Sus scrofa: one gene and its partners. The protein of the gene in region 3 purifies or fractionates together with the protein of the main gene of each other region. This does not show direct contact. Links are inferred from orthologs where the notes say so. Each region holds a gene or a part of one and is shown on either strand. Other genes may lie near its edges.

The links. The genes of interacting proteins can lie anywhere in the genome.
Region 1: the proteins of PAK1 (region 3) and GIT2 purify together in Homo sapiens (affinity purification with mass spectrometry; 5 studies listed by BioGRID and IntAct, with this or other methods). This does not show direct contact. The link is inferred for Sus scrofa from reciprocal best matches to the Homo sapiens genes PAK1 and GIT2.
Region 2: the proteins of PAK1 (region 3) and GIT1 purify together in Homo sapiens (affinity purification with mass spectrometry; 6 studies listed by BioGRID and IntAct, with this or other methods). This does not show direct contact. The link is inferred for Sus scrofa from reciprocal best matches to the Homo sapiens genes PAK1 and GIT1.

What each region holds. Positions count from the first base shown.
Region 1 is NC_010456.5:40,994,562-40,998,789, reverse strand, and holds the start of GIT2 (ARF GTPase-activating protein GIT2), read right to left. Parts: upstream 2,801-4,228; 5' UTR 2,648-2,800; coding exon 2,596-2,647; intron 1-2,595. UniProt on the Homo sapiens protein: GTPase-activating protein for ADP ribosylation factor family members, including ARF1.
Region 2 is NC_010454.4:45,780,818-45,784,915, forward strand, and holds the start of GIT1 (ARF GTPase-activating protein GIT1), read right to left. Parts: upstream 2,801-4,098; 5' UTR 2,680-2,800; coding exon 2,628-2,679; intron 1-2,627. UniProt on the Homo sapiens protein: GTPase-activating protein for ADP ribosylation factor family members, including ARF1.
Region 3 is NC_010451.4:11,858,075-11,861,574, reverse strand, and holds part of PAK1 (serine/threonine-protein kinase PAK 1), read left to right. Parts: intron 1-2,044; coding exon 2,045-2,219; intron 2,220-3,500. UniProt on the Homo sapiens protein: Protein kinase involved in intracellular signaling pathways downstream of integrins and receptor-type kinases that plays an important role in cytoskeleton dynamics, in cell adhesion, migration, proliferation, apoptosis, mitosis, and in vesicle-mediated transport processes.

The DNA of each region.
Region 1 (4,228 bases), on a different chromosome or scaffold from region 3:
TATTGTCACTGCAGCGGCCTGGGTTGCTGCTGTGGTATAGATTCCATCCCTGGCCCTGGAACTTCCACATGGCACCAGTGCATCCAAAAAAAAGGCAAAGGGTGGAAACATCAAGATGAAGGATCCCTACAAAGATACAGAACAATGCTTTTGTTTGTTTGTTTTGTTTTGTCTTTTTTTAGGGCCACACCCGCAGCAGACGGAGGTTCCCAGGCTAGGGGTCTAATTGCAGCTACAGCTGCTGGCCAATACCACAGCCACAGCAATGCCAGATCTGAGCCTCGTCTTCCACCTACACCACAGCTCTTGGCAACACCAGATCCTTAACCCACTGAGAGAGGCCAGGGATCAAACCTGCAACCTCATGGTTCCTAGTCGGATTCATTTCTGCTGCGCCATGAAGGGAACTCCTAGAACAATGCTTTTTGCAGTATGGTACTACTACTAATGACACACATACAAAAAGACTATTTGTTTTGAAGATTAGCTTTGATTTTCACATATCATTCTGAAGATTCACAATCTCCTTTGGAGGAAATTAAACAGGTACAAAACAGCAAGGATTTAACACACATTAAGAAAGTTTCCCTATTAATCACCTTAACGTCATGAATCAGAATCCCATGTTAACAACACAGTAAAATCCAAACTGAGTTTGTATGCAAGAGGCTGGGTGAACCCCTTCCAGTCTATCTGAACGGTTTATGCTATGGCTTCTTAACCTGGCTTCTAAGAAGACAACAAATGGGCTTCAGAAACGTCTATGATTCCACTGAAAAATCGTAACATAAATTCTCTGTGAAAGAGTAATTATGTGTGCATTTTCTGGCAAGAAGGCCTTAGCATTCATCAGAATCTCAAAGGGGTCCCTAACCCTAAAGGTAACTTTCATAGGGCTTTGCAGAAAAGACAGCACAAATTCCTGGCTGCTCAAGTTCAGAACATTTCAAGGTAGCCTAATTATATTCAAAACAGGAAGGAAGTGACTCAAGTCTCTGTAGATTAGGCATATGAGACAACAACTAAAATGAAACAATGGAAGAGAAAATGTTCTGAAATGCACAAAATGCTGCAGAGGTGCAAGATAGTGTTTAGTGTAGCAAGGGAGCTGCAGTTTTTCCTTTGCCTCATACCACCCACTGAGAAGCACAGAAAATGCATTTCAAGAGGAAGTTTGAATCTAGACTCATAAGAATCAAACATCACAGAAGGTTCAACCGAAAAGAGGCAAGAAAATAAGGAAGTGGAACAAATAACATTTTTAGAGAATACGATGGAGTTTGTATAACACATTAACTTGGTTTCTAAAACACCTCTTTTTAAACTCCTCCACCCGTCTCCCTATCTTCAAAGGAAACCGGTAACCCCACTTACATTATAGAGGCCATGAAATAACCACATAAGGTTTGAATTATCATAGTACTATTTAAAAATCAGTCTCCACTTCCATCTGACAAGACAAAGTTTGGAACAGTCGCAAAAACACTGGTGCGCAATGGTTTCATTAAGATTGTTTACTGGATGCTGTGGTGCCATTTTACCTTTTGAATTACTTCAAATTCAAAGCAGAAAAATACAAGCACTGAGAACAGTACAGAGACCTGTCAACTCAGTTCCAACTGCTAAGACGAAAACTACACATGGGAGGTTTAGTTTTGGCCTTTCAGTGCTGCCATATGCCTATATTGCCTAAATGCCCAAATGGGTCTACTTGTCAGTGATGTGGTGTGTGTTGGTTTTGTAAGCTGTAATTAATGCATGATTTAGAAATTCAACTATAGTTTTAAGGGACTGTAAAGGTTCTGTACACAATAGGGGAAAAAAATTTAAATGAGATGATGCTAAGAATATTCACTGAATCTTCCCTACCGCTAAGCACCATACTCCCCATTATCCCCATCGGAAAAATGAGGAAATGAAGACTCGGCCAAATGAAGTCACCAGCCCAAGGTCACCCAGAGGGAACATCTAGTTTGAACTCAGACGGTTCAGATCTCAGAACCTGAGCCAAGCATTGCCTCCCAAGTGCAGGTGGCGTTTGCAAGACCCCGACATCCTGGAGACTCTCTGCCGTGGAGCGGGAGTCGGGATGCCAGAAATGGCGAAATCGTCCATGGGGGTCCTCTGGCGAGTCTCAGTGGAGGGAAGGGGTGAGCGTCGCCCACTACCAGCAGGGCGCCTCCGGGGACGGGGGTCTTGGGTGACTGTGGGAAGGGGGTGGTGACACCTGCAGTCTCTGGGGGCCGCAGCCGGGAAGACGCTCGCATTTTACTTCTGTAATTGGCCTTCCTGTGGATTGCCCAAGCCCCTTCCTGTTAGGAAAGCGGCTCCGACCCCACCGCCTCCCCGGACGGCCTGGGACAGAGTGAACGAAAGGGAAAGGAGGGGCGGGAGGGCGGCGGCCCCCTGCCCGCCCGGCTCTGACAGGCCAGGGGCAGGTTCTGCCCCAAGACCGCCCCCCTTCCTCCTCGTCGTGACCCCAGGCATGGGATGCAGAGGTCGACTGCCGGGACCCGCCCGGCTCGAGGGGCGGCCCCGGGGCAGGGGTCCTGGCCAGGAGAGCTGAGGGGAGCGGGCCCGGCTGATGAGACTCACCTGGCCCGCTGCAGTCAGCGCACACTTCGCTGCTCCGGAGCCGCTTCGACATGGCTCCCGCCTCCCACCTGCCGGGAACCTGGGGCCCCGAGACAGCGAAGGCGGCGGCGGCGGCGGCGGCGGCGGAGGCGCTTCCGCTCTAACGGGTCCCAGCGGCGGCGCTGGCGGCAGCGCCTCTCCCTGAGCGCCTCGCAGCCGCGGCCCAGCACGCACGCGCGGGGAGGCACCCTTTGGCAATAGGCAGATCATGTGACCGGAAAGGGCACGCTGCCCTGTCGCCATATTGAGTGAGGGCAAGGATCTTCCGTCCTGCTTCCAAATTTTCTGTAATTTGTCTCCCTCTCCAGAAGAAATTCGCTTCTTCCCAGCACTGATTAATACCAAATCTAGTAACCAGAAGTCTGCAGCTGCAACCTGCCTGAGGTAATCAGTAGTCAAGTCATTTCGCATAACTTTGGCCAAGTTCATTTATATATTCTTTCCTTTATTCAGCAAATTACACACAGTGTTCCAAGCAGTGAAGAAAGAGTAGTGAGCCAAGAGGACAAAATTTCCTGTCTTTATGGAGCTAACATTCAATTGTGCTAGATCTACAATAAGTAAAATAAGGGTATATTATGTGTTTCCTTATGCTGCAGTTTTAATATAATCTGCTAGAGGAAGATAATGTGTATCTACCGCTAGCCTACAATTTTCTTTTGTATGGCTTGCACCTAAAAATGATTTTCATAGTTTTATTTTTTTGTTTTTGTTGTGTTTTGGCATGTGGAAGTTTCAGGGCCGGGATGGAACTGGAGCCATAGCAATAATCGAGCCACAGCAGTGACAACTGAGTCCTTAATTGCTCGGCCATCAACTCTTAATTTTTACTTGTTTTGTTGTTTTTTAGGCCATATGGAGGTTCCCAGGTTAGGGGTAAATTGGAGCTACAGCTGTCAGCCTACACCACAGCCATAGCAATGCGGGATCCCAGCTGCACCTGTGACCTACCCACTAGCCCACAGCAACACCAGATCCCGGACCCACTAAGCGAGGCCAGAGATCAGACCTGCATCCTCAGGTTTACTGGTTGGATTCCTTTCCACTGCACGACACAGGGAACTCCTAATTTTTACATTTTTGAAGGATTGTAAAGAGGAAGGAGAAGAGGGAAAGGATGAATATTTAACAAAACTCATATATGAAACGTATAGCTAAATATTTACTGTCTGGCTAAGAACAAATGGAATAATTCACAGAAGAGTGTGGTATGCTTGCCTCAGAGTGAACCCTCATTAATAGTAGCCTCTTGAAGTTCCCGTCGTGGCGCAATGGTTAACGAATCCGACTAGGAACCATGAGGTTGCAGGTTCAGTCCCTGCCCTTGCTCAGTGGGTTCACGATCCGGCGTTGCTGTGAGCTGTGGTGTAGGTTGCAGACTCGGCTCGGATCCCACGTTGCTGTGGCTCTGGCGTAGGCCGGTGGCGCAGCTCCAACTAGACCCCTAGCGTGGGAACCTCCATATGCTGCGGGAGCGGCCCAAGAAATAGCAAAAAGCAAAAAAAAAGTAGCCTCTGTTATTATTGGAATTTGATATTACTATTATTTCTTAATCACAATTTTGAGGATAACGATAGATAACCTAATATACAGG
Region 2 (4,098 bases), on a different chromosome or scaffold from region 3:
CCAGCTGCCTCACAGCTGTTCCCTGTGTGTCCAGGCCTGGGAGGAGAGAAAGGACAGAGCCCTTTGGGGTCAGGCTGCACCTTACTTTTCAGCTCCATGACCCTGCAAATTAACCAACCACAAAAGGGCCACAACCCCACTCCTAGGGCAGATTGCAGGGCTCCTATTACAGTGAGAAGCTTATGACTTTGGGTAGGAAGCATATTCCAAGGAGGTGGCTCTGGGCCTGGGCTCCAGACTGTTGGTTTCCCTCAAGCCTCTTACCTAAGCTGCTATAGGTCCCAGACTGAGAATGCCACCCCATGCATCATAGGGTGCAGGTGCCCCTAAAAAGTCAGCTGAGGTCCTGAGAAGCATCCAGACCCTTAGGGAATGCCTACCAGACAGCATGCTAGGTGCAGGGGTTGGGTGATGAAGAAGACTTTGATGGCACCCTGCCCACCATACCACCTGCCTCTTCCTGACCTGTATTCTGGATCAGGGGAAAAGGTAGTACCAGGAGCACAAAAGGTCTCTGTGGGATGAGGACTTGGGGTACGAGCTGGGTTGGGCACCCCAACACACCAGATACATACCACTCCTCCCTATGCCCGCTGAGCATCTAGAGACTTCAGCCAAATGGTCAAAAGCAATGGAGAAAGGACAACTGCCTTGATAATGCTGCCTGTGTCCCCCAGGTCCAGAATCAGGACCACAGACTTTGGAGATAGGATAGTTTTTTTTTTTTTTGGTCTTTTTCTAGGGCCTCACCCACAGCATATGGAGGTTCCAAGGCTAGGGGTCTAATCGGAACTGTAGCCACCAGCCTACGCCAGAGCCATAGCAACGCCAGATCTGAGCGGCTGGATCCTTAACCCACTTGGCGAGGGCAGGGATTGAACCCGCAACCTTGTGATTCCTAGTCGGATCTGTTAACCACTGAGCCATAGCAGGAACTTCTGGATAGATCTTAAAAACCATTTCTATTCCAACTTCTTTACCTCAGAGTTGAGGAACCTGAGACCCTGAGGGGGAAAAGTCTTGCCATGAGTCAGAGTAAGCTGGAAACAAAGGCAACACCAAAATCCAGGCTCCCCTGATAAGATATCTACTAAGCACCCCCTCCCACTCTTACTTGCCCTTCCCACCCCCACTGTGACGTGTGTCCAGCAGAGATGCAAAAGGGCGGCCTGGGACAGGCACTGAGAAAACAAGTTCTCCTCTTAGCCCTTCCATCCCCAGACCTGCCTGCATTTGGGGGAAGGAGATAGTAGTTTCTAACTCATCAGGGGTAAGGTCGGATGACCCACCTCCTCCCCCATAGCTTCTTGGGGGCACTCTGGACCCTAACATGCCCTGAGAGGAGGCCTCAGGGTCATGACTACCCAGACTACCATGCCTCTGCCAGGCACCCACAGTTCCCAAACACTCTAGCTTGGAGACATCAGAACCACCAGAGCGTCTGTTGCTCTCAACCTGTTGGGGGTCCTGGACCTCTCCAAAGGGTGGCTGGAAGTTATGGGCACACAAAACAACACCCCACACTCATGCTTAATTGCGCCCATAGTCCCCCCTCCCTGAGTCCACCCGGTCTCCCAGCAAGATAGCTCCTTTTATAAAAAGAGAGGCCGGTCAAGGGCCAGGGCTTCCTTCCCCGGGCCAGATGCTGAGCCCCATCACCGGCAGCGTCCTCCCACATCAGAAGGAAGCATCCTCTCCAGGTCACTGCTTCTCACTCCCTCAGCAGGTCAAGGGGTTTCACCTGGACCTGACTCTGCTGGGAATAAGAGAAAAACCACGGCGACTACAGCCAGAAGGCAGGCCAGGAAGCCAGGTGAATCTCAGGAATCTAGGCACCCCTTGGCACTGCTCCCCACCCATTTCTGACCAGACTGGCCTAGGAGATGGCAAGGGGTCTGTGCTCAGGTTGGGGCAATGCCAAGCCCACCTTCCAAGCAGGCCTTACTGGAGCACAGGGGAAGCTGAATCTCGTTTCCAGTCATCAGGCCTGGGGACGCCTCAGGGGAAGATGCCCAGGCTCAAGTGGCCCTGAACACCAGGCCCTGCAAAGGGCCCCAGCCTTGGGAGCCAGGGGCAAGGAGTCCTAGGAGTAGCCACCCCGTCAAATGCTCCAGAGGAAACAGTATCCAGACCCCCCCTAGCCCATCTGCCCAGCTCTCTGCCCCTTGCCCTCCGCCACCCCAGCGGGCGTGCAGACCATGCGAGCAGCAGGTGCAAGACGCGGGGGTGGCACTGAGATGACACAAAACCTCACTCGCCCCCACCTCCTAAACCCCGACCGGCCTCGCCACAGCCCTCCTGCCACCCCAGGCTGGCGCTTCCGTTTGGATATGAGATGGAAGCGGGGGGTGCAGCCAGCTGCCCGCCTCCCTCTGACTGAGGGGTGGGAGGCGGCGCCGGGAATGTCCTTTCTCGCTTGTCCACGGACACGAGGAAACTGGGGCCCCCAGGACGGCCCTCCCGCCAAGGACGAGGCTCGGCAGCGGCCGGGGCGGGGGCCGAGGCCGGAGGCCGCAGCCCCCAGCCCCGCCCCGCCCTCCGGCCCCGCACGGCGCTCCCGCCAGGCCCCGGCGCCCGCCCGGCGGCGCCTCGGTGCGCGGTCCCGCCCCCGGCCCGGCCCCGCTTACCCGGGGCGCTGCAGTCCGCACACACCTCCGCTCGCGGCCCCTTCCGGGACATCCTCAGCGGCGACGCGGCCGCAGCCCTCTGGGCCAGCGTGGGGGGCGCGGGCGGCGGGCCCGGGCGGCGGCGGCCCCTGCTGCCCGGCCCGGCTCCGGCAAGGCCCCGGCTAGGCTCCGCGCGCCCGGCCAACCGTCCGCCCCCGGGGCTGGCCCGGAACCCGCCGTGCCCGCCCGCCCGCTCGCCCTCGGGCGCCCTCCGCCCCGCGCCGCCCCGCGCCGCCCCGCCGCCGCTCGCCGCTCGCTCTCTCCGCCCCCTGCGCGGCTCTCGGCCGCTCCTGCAGGAAGCGGCGCAGGCCCGGCCCACCGGGGGAGGGGCAGCCTGCACACCCGCCCCACCGCCGGGCCCTGCCGGCCGCGCCTCCCGGAGAAAGGAAGCCGGGAGCGCGGGCGGGAGGGGGTGGGGGCGTTTAAAGGGGCCGCGGCCGCCGCCGCCGCCGCCGGGCCCGCGCTGCAGCGTCGCCTGCGCCCTGCACTGGGCTCCGGCGCGCCCCTGTCCCTGAGGCTGTGCGAGCTAGCCCCACAGCCCCATCCCCTTCACTGAGACGGAAGCTGGCCCGGGGAGCTTGAGCCCAGGGACAGTGACCCCTGGGGATCAAAGAAGAGAGTAAGGAGCTGAAGGCCCAGGCCCCCCTCCTCATCCAGAGGCTGTGGTTCGGGGTAACGTTCCTGTCTCTGTTTGGGGTGAGTTGTGCGTCCTGGTCCGCTGTGTGTTCACATCTGTGTGTCCAGGTGTTTGTGTGGTCACACTCTTGTTGACTACGCACACCGCCAACAATATGGACGCCCAAGTGCCAGAGGTCATGCAGTGTATACCCCTGCCTCCGAGCTGAATAAACATCTATCCCTCCTCCCGGCTTCCATCCAGAAATGAAAGAGTGTGGACTGTTTTTGAAGACCTCCTGAGCAGTGACCACTGTGCCTGTGTACAGTAATACCCACTTGGCATCGGTCTTGCATACATCATTGGTGTTTCTGAGCCACGGGAAGTCTGCGTGTCCAGGGCACAAGCATATAACATACAGGGGCCTTTTTTGCGGTGGTTTTTCCTCCTGGACTTCACACAGAGACTCGTTGGAGGATGGGGGACAGGGAGAGGAGGCAGCAGGCCACACGTGGGTGCACCCCAGCACTGAGCATGCTCCCCCATACACGTGTGCCCCACGTGCACCCAACCCCCATCTTGCAGCAAGAAAGGCTAAAGCGCTGGGTTTGTGGAGAGAGGGCAGGGGTGCTAAGGCCCAGGCCCAATGGGTCCTGATGAAGTGGTGACACGATTAAAGGAGGGTTCCCCAGTGGCAGGCGGGGAGTCCTGCTTAGTAACAAGGGGTGGGGGTAGGAGGCGAGTCCTTGGGCAGGGGTGCAGGAGTTGGTTGATTTTAAACCAGCGGTGCCAGAGCAGCAGTGACTTGTGGGTGGG
Region 3 (3,500 bases):
CTGAGCACTGATCTTTCATTAAATGACACTCTATTAGTGCTTCTTCGTTTGGACTTTTTATTATGACAGGAGCTTCATAATGCAAGAATGAGCTAGGGCTTAAACTCTGTGATAATTCATAAAAAGACTGTCTCAGAAGTAGAGAATTCATGGAGATGTTCAAGCAGAAGTTGGTTGACTGACCCTGGGAGATGTTGCAGAGGAAATTCAAGGGCATTAGATGACCTTTTAGGATGAGAATTTATAAGCAGAATCTGTGGAATCACTCTTTCTGTAGTTGCAAAATTATCTTAAGGAAAATGAGCTTCAAAATTAAGAGTTGTTAAGATACCTCACATTGGCATGGCTTTTTTTGGTTTATAAGCATATTCATTTAAAGTTTTTTCTCTGGTAAACAAGGAACTCCTCAAAAGTAGAGGAAATACATGAATATTTCCAGTGCTTAACATAGTTCTTGGCAGGTTTTAGAAAGGTAGTTAGTAGTGAATGGACAAATGAATCAATACATTTGATCTTCATACCATTCCTTTCTAAAAAGACATTGTTAATTCCTGATTTATAGAAGAAATTCAGATTTGGAAAGGCGAATTGATCTATCCAAAGTCTCTTAGGAAGTAAAAGAGCCAGGATTGAAAACAGGTAATTGACCCCAAGTCCAGGTTTTATTAGCGTAGTGCAGTGGCCTTTTTATGTAAGCAGATTTGTGCTGGGAGCCAGAGCATTTTAGAGAAGCAAAGGTTTGTGCCCTCAAGGAGCCGTGTCCGGAGAACTAAAGGAGGACAAGGCATGAAAGTACAGGTTTAGGTGCCAGGGATATAGTTTCTTTATATGTGCAAGAATAGAATATTAAGAAATCCTTATGCTGGAGTAGTCTGGAAAGCAGCTGTAGTCTCTGATCTCAGTGCCTTGGACTTATTGCTTTTTCCTCTCTGTAGAATTTTCTCTCCCATTTCACCTAGTAAAGTCCTGTCCATCCTTCACATCCAGTTGAAGAATCCCATTCATTTGTTCATGGAGTTGTCATTTACCTGAATGCTTGTTTTTTGTTAGGCAAGTGCTTTAGGAGCTCAGGAATCAATGACACACATTCCCTGTCTTCATGGAGCTTAGAGGCTAGCCAAAAAATTATGGTGATGTTTTTATGAAAAAAAAAAAAAAAAGATAAATGCCTTGAAGCATTTCCTGGGGAAAGGACATATAACTTATGATGACTTCTTCTGAACCTCAGTAGTATATAGTTTGCTCATTTCTTCTGACATTTATCCCTTTCTGCCTTGCAGTTAGGACTTTCTCTAAGACTTTTTCACAGGAATAGAGGATGCATTTTGTGCAGTAAGGCAAATAATAGGTTCTCAGTACATGTTAAAATAAATGAATAAATAGGAGGTCTGCTGGGTATGATACTACTCATTTCACACAATAATTAATTTATTACCACAACAACCCTGTAAGATAGGTATCACTAACATCACCGTTTTACAAATGAGGAAACTAAAGCATAGAGAAGTAACCTGCCCCAAGACATACAAATGGTAAGAGGAAGAGTCCAGGGAATCAGGCTCCAGAATCAATAGTCTAATTGACTACATCCTACTGCCTCTTAAAGAAAAGCAATTATAGTTCCTTCTCTGCAAGAGTTCTGGATTTAAAGAGGGAATAACTCAAATGAAACTAACGTTAAGTGTTGCATTAGCAATGCAAAGTACTATGGAGTCCAGGATGTTCATTTCAGCTTGAGAAAGAATAGAATTTTACAGATGGAGGGGATTCCTGTCTAATGGTAGAAAGTCCTTTACACTCTATATTGAGAGTTGTCTAACCTGTATTGAATATCTTCAGAGTTCAGACTCTCACTAATCCCTTTTGTTTATAGGGAGGGCCAAAAAGGCCATTCTATCCTCATGGCCTGGGCACACAGGAGGAGGAATATAGATTTTGACCCAGGAGAAGGGATGAGTTTACTGGGGTTTGTTCTTCTGTGGATGTTCTAACACACGACTCTTAGAGATGTTAGCCTTGCCAAATTCTTGCACCAAAAATGCAGGTATACACACGGTCTGTGATTGAACCACTTCCTATTACTCCAACTCGGGATGTGGCTACATCTCCCATTTCACCTACTGAGAGCACTACCACTCCACCGGATGCCCTGACTCGGAATACTGAGAAGCAGAAGAAGAAGCCCAAAATGTCTGATGAGGAGATCTTGGAGAAATTACGTAAGCACGTTGTAGGTCTTTGAATTTCCCTCTGGTATGTGGCTGTTTGAACACAAAGATGGAATTCTGTTGCTGTTAAGATCTTAGTTCTGCACTTGGTGTATGTGGCTGGCTGACTGTGCTTTATGTCTTAGCCACAGACTGTGCTTCTCTTCTCCTTGTCCCCGTACCCACCTTCTCTCTGTCTCAGCAGCCCTGTTAGGATGTGAATGTGATGAAAGAGAGTGTGGATAGCCTAGGTATGGGCTGTGAAGATGACAAATAACTTTTACCCAGTGAATAGTCTGGAATATCATGTTGAGAAAGACAACCTGCTGGGAAAGAGTGCTATGTTCATTATTGATGTTTGCCCTTGATACAAGACAGATCTGCTGTCTTGGTTATAGGAAAAGAGGGAAGGGAAACTAACATTTTGTGAACCTGTGCTATGTACCAAATGACAAACAAGGCTTTTTCCTGATTTTTTAAAAATGTATTCCTCATTTTAACCCTGTGGAGACAGACATTATAATCCTTATCTTTTGCAGTTAAGGTGTTTGAGGCTAGTGATGCTAAATACTCCGCCCAAGTTCACACAGCCAAAAAGTAACCCAAAAACTAGGGTTAGAGTGTATCTTGTGCCCCTGTAATCAGAGCGTGCTATTACTTGCTGTCAGGTAGAAACTTCCGTTTTACTTTCTTTAGTGACCAGAAATGGGCTGTGTTAGGGTAGCTTGTTTCTGTTTTTCAGTAACCTGAGGAGAACTCATATGAAAAGGAAGACTGGTTGATCTGTGGGCTTAGAAGAATCATCTGACAAGGCCTTTGATTTATTCTTTGTACTTAACTACTTCTAAAGAGGATTTGATATGACTGGTTCTGCCAAGTCTGCATGCTGGCATTGCCTTCTTAAGTTGAAGTTTCTGATTCTCTAGCTTAGCAGCTCTTAATTACTTCCAGATAATTCTTATTTGACTTAAAAAAAAATTCACTCTTTAAGAAGTTACCCTTGCCCAGAGCCCTTATGAAATGATGGAATAAGGAAATCCACTTACCTAGTCATCTGTTTACTCCTGTATGTATTCTTTTTCTCTGAACCAGATTTTTTTTTTTTAAATTAATACTTAGGGAGTTCCCGTTGTGGCACAGTGGTTGACAAATCCGACTAGGAACCATGAGGTTGCGGGTTCGATCCCTGCCCTTGCTCAGTGGGTTAAAGATCCGGCGTTGCTGTGAGCTGTGGTGTAGGTCGCAGACAGCTTGGATCCCGTGTTGCTGTGGCTCTGGCGTAGGCTGGCGTCT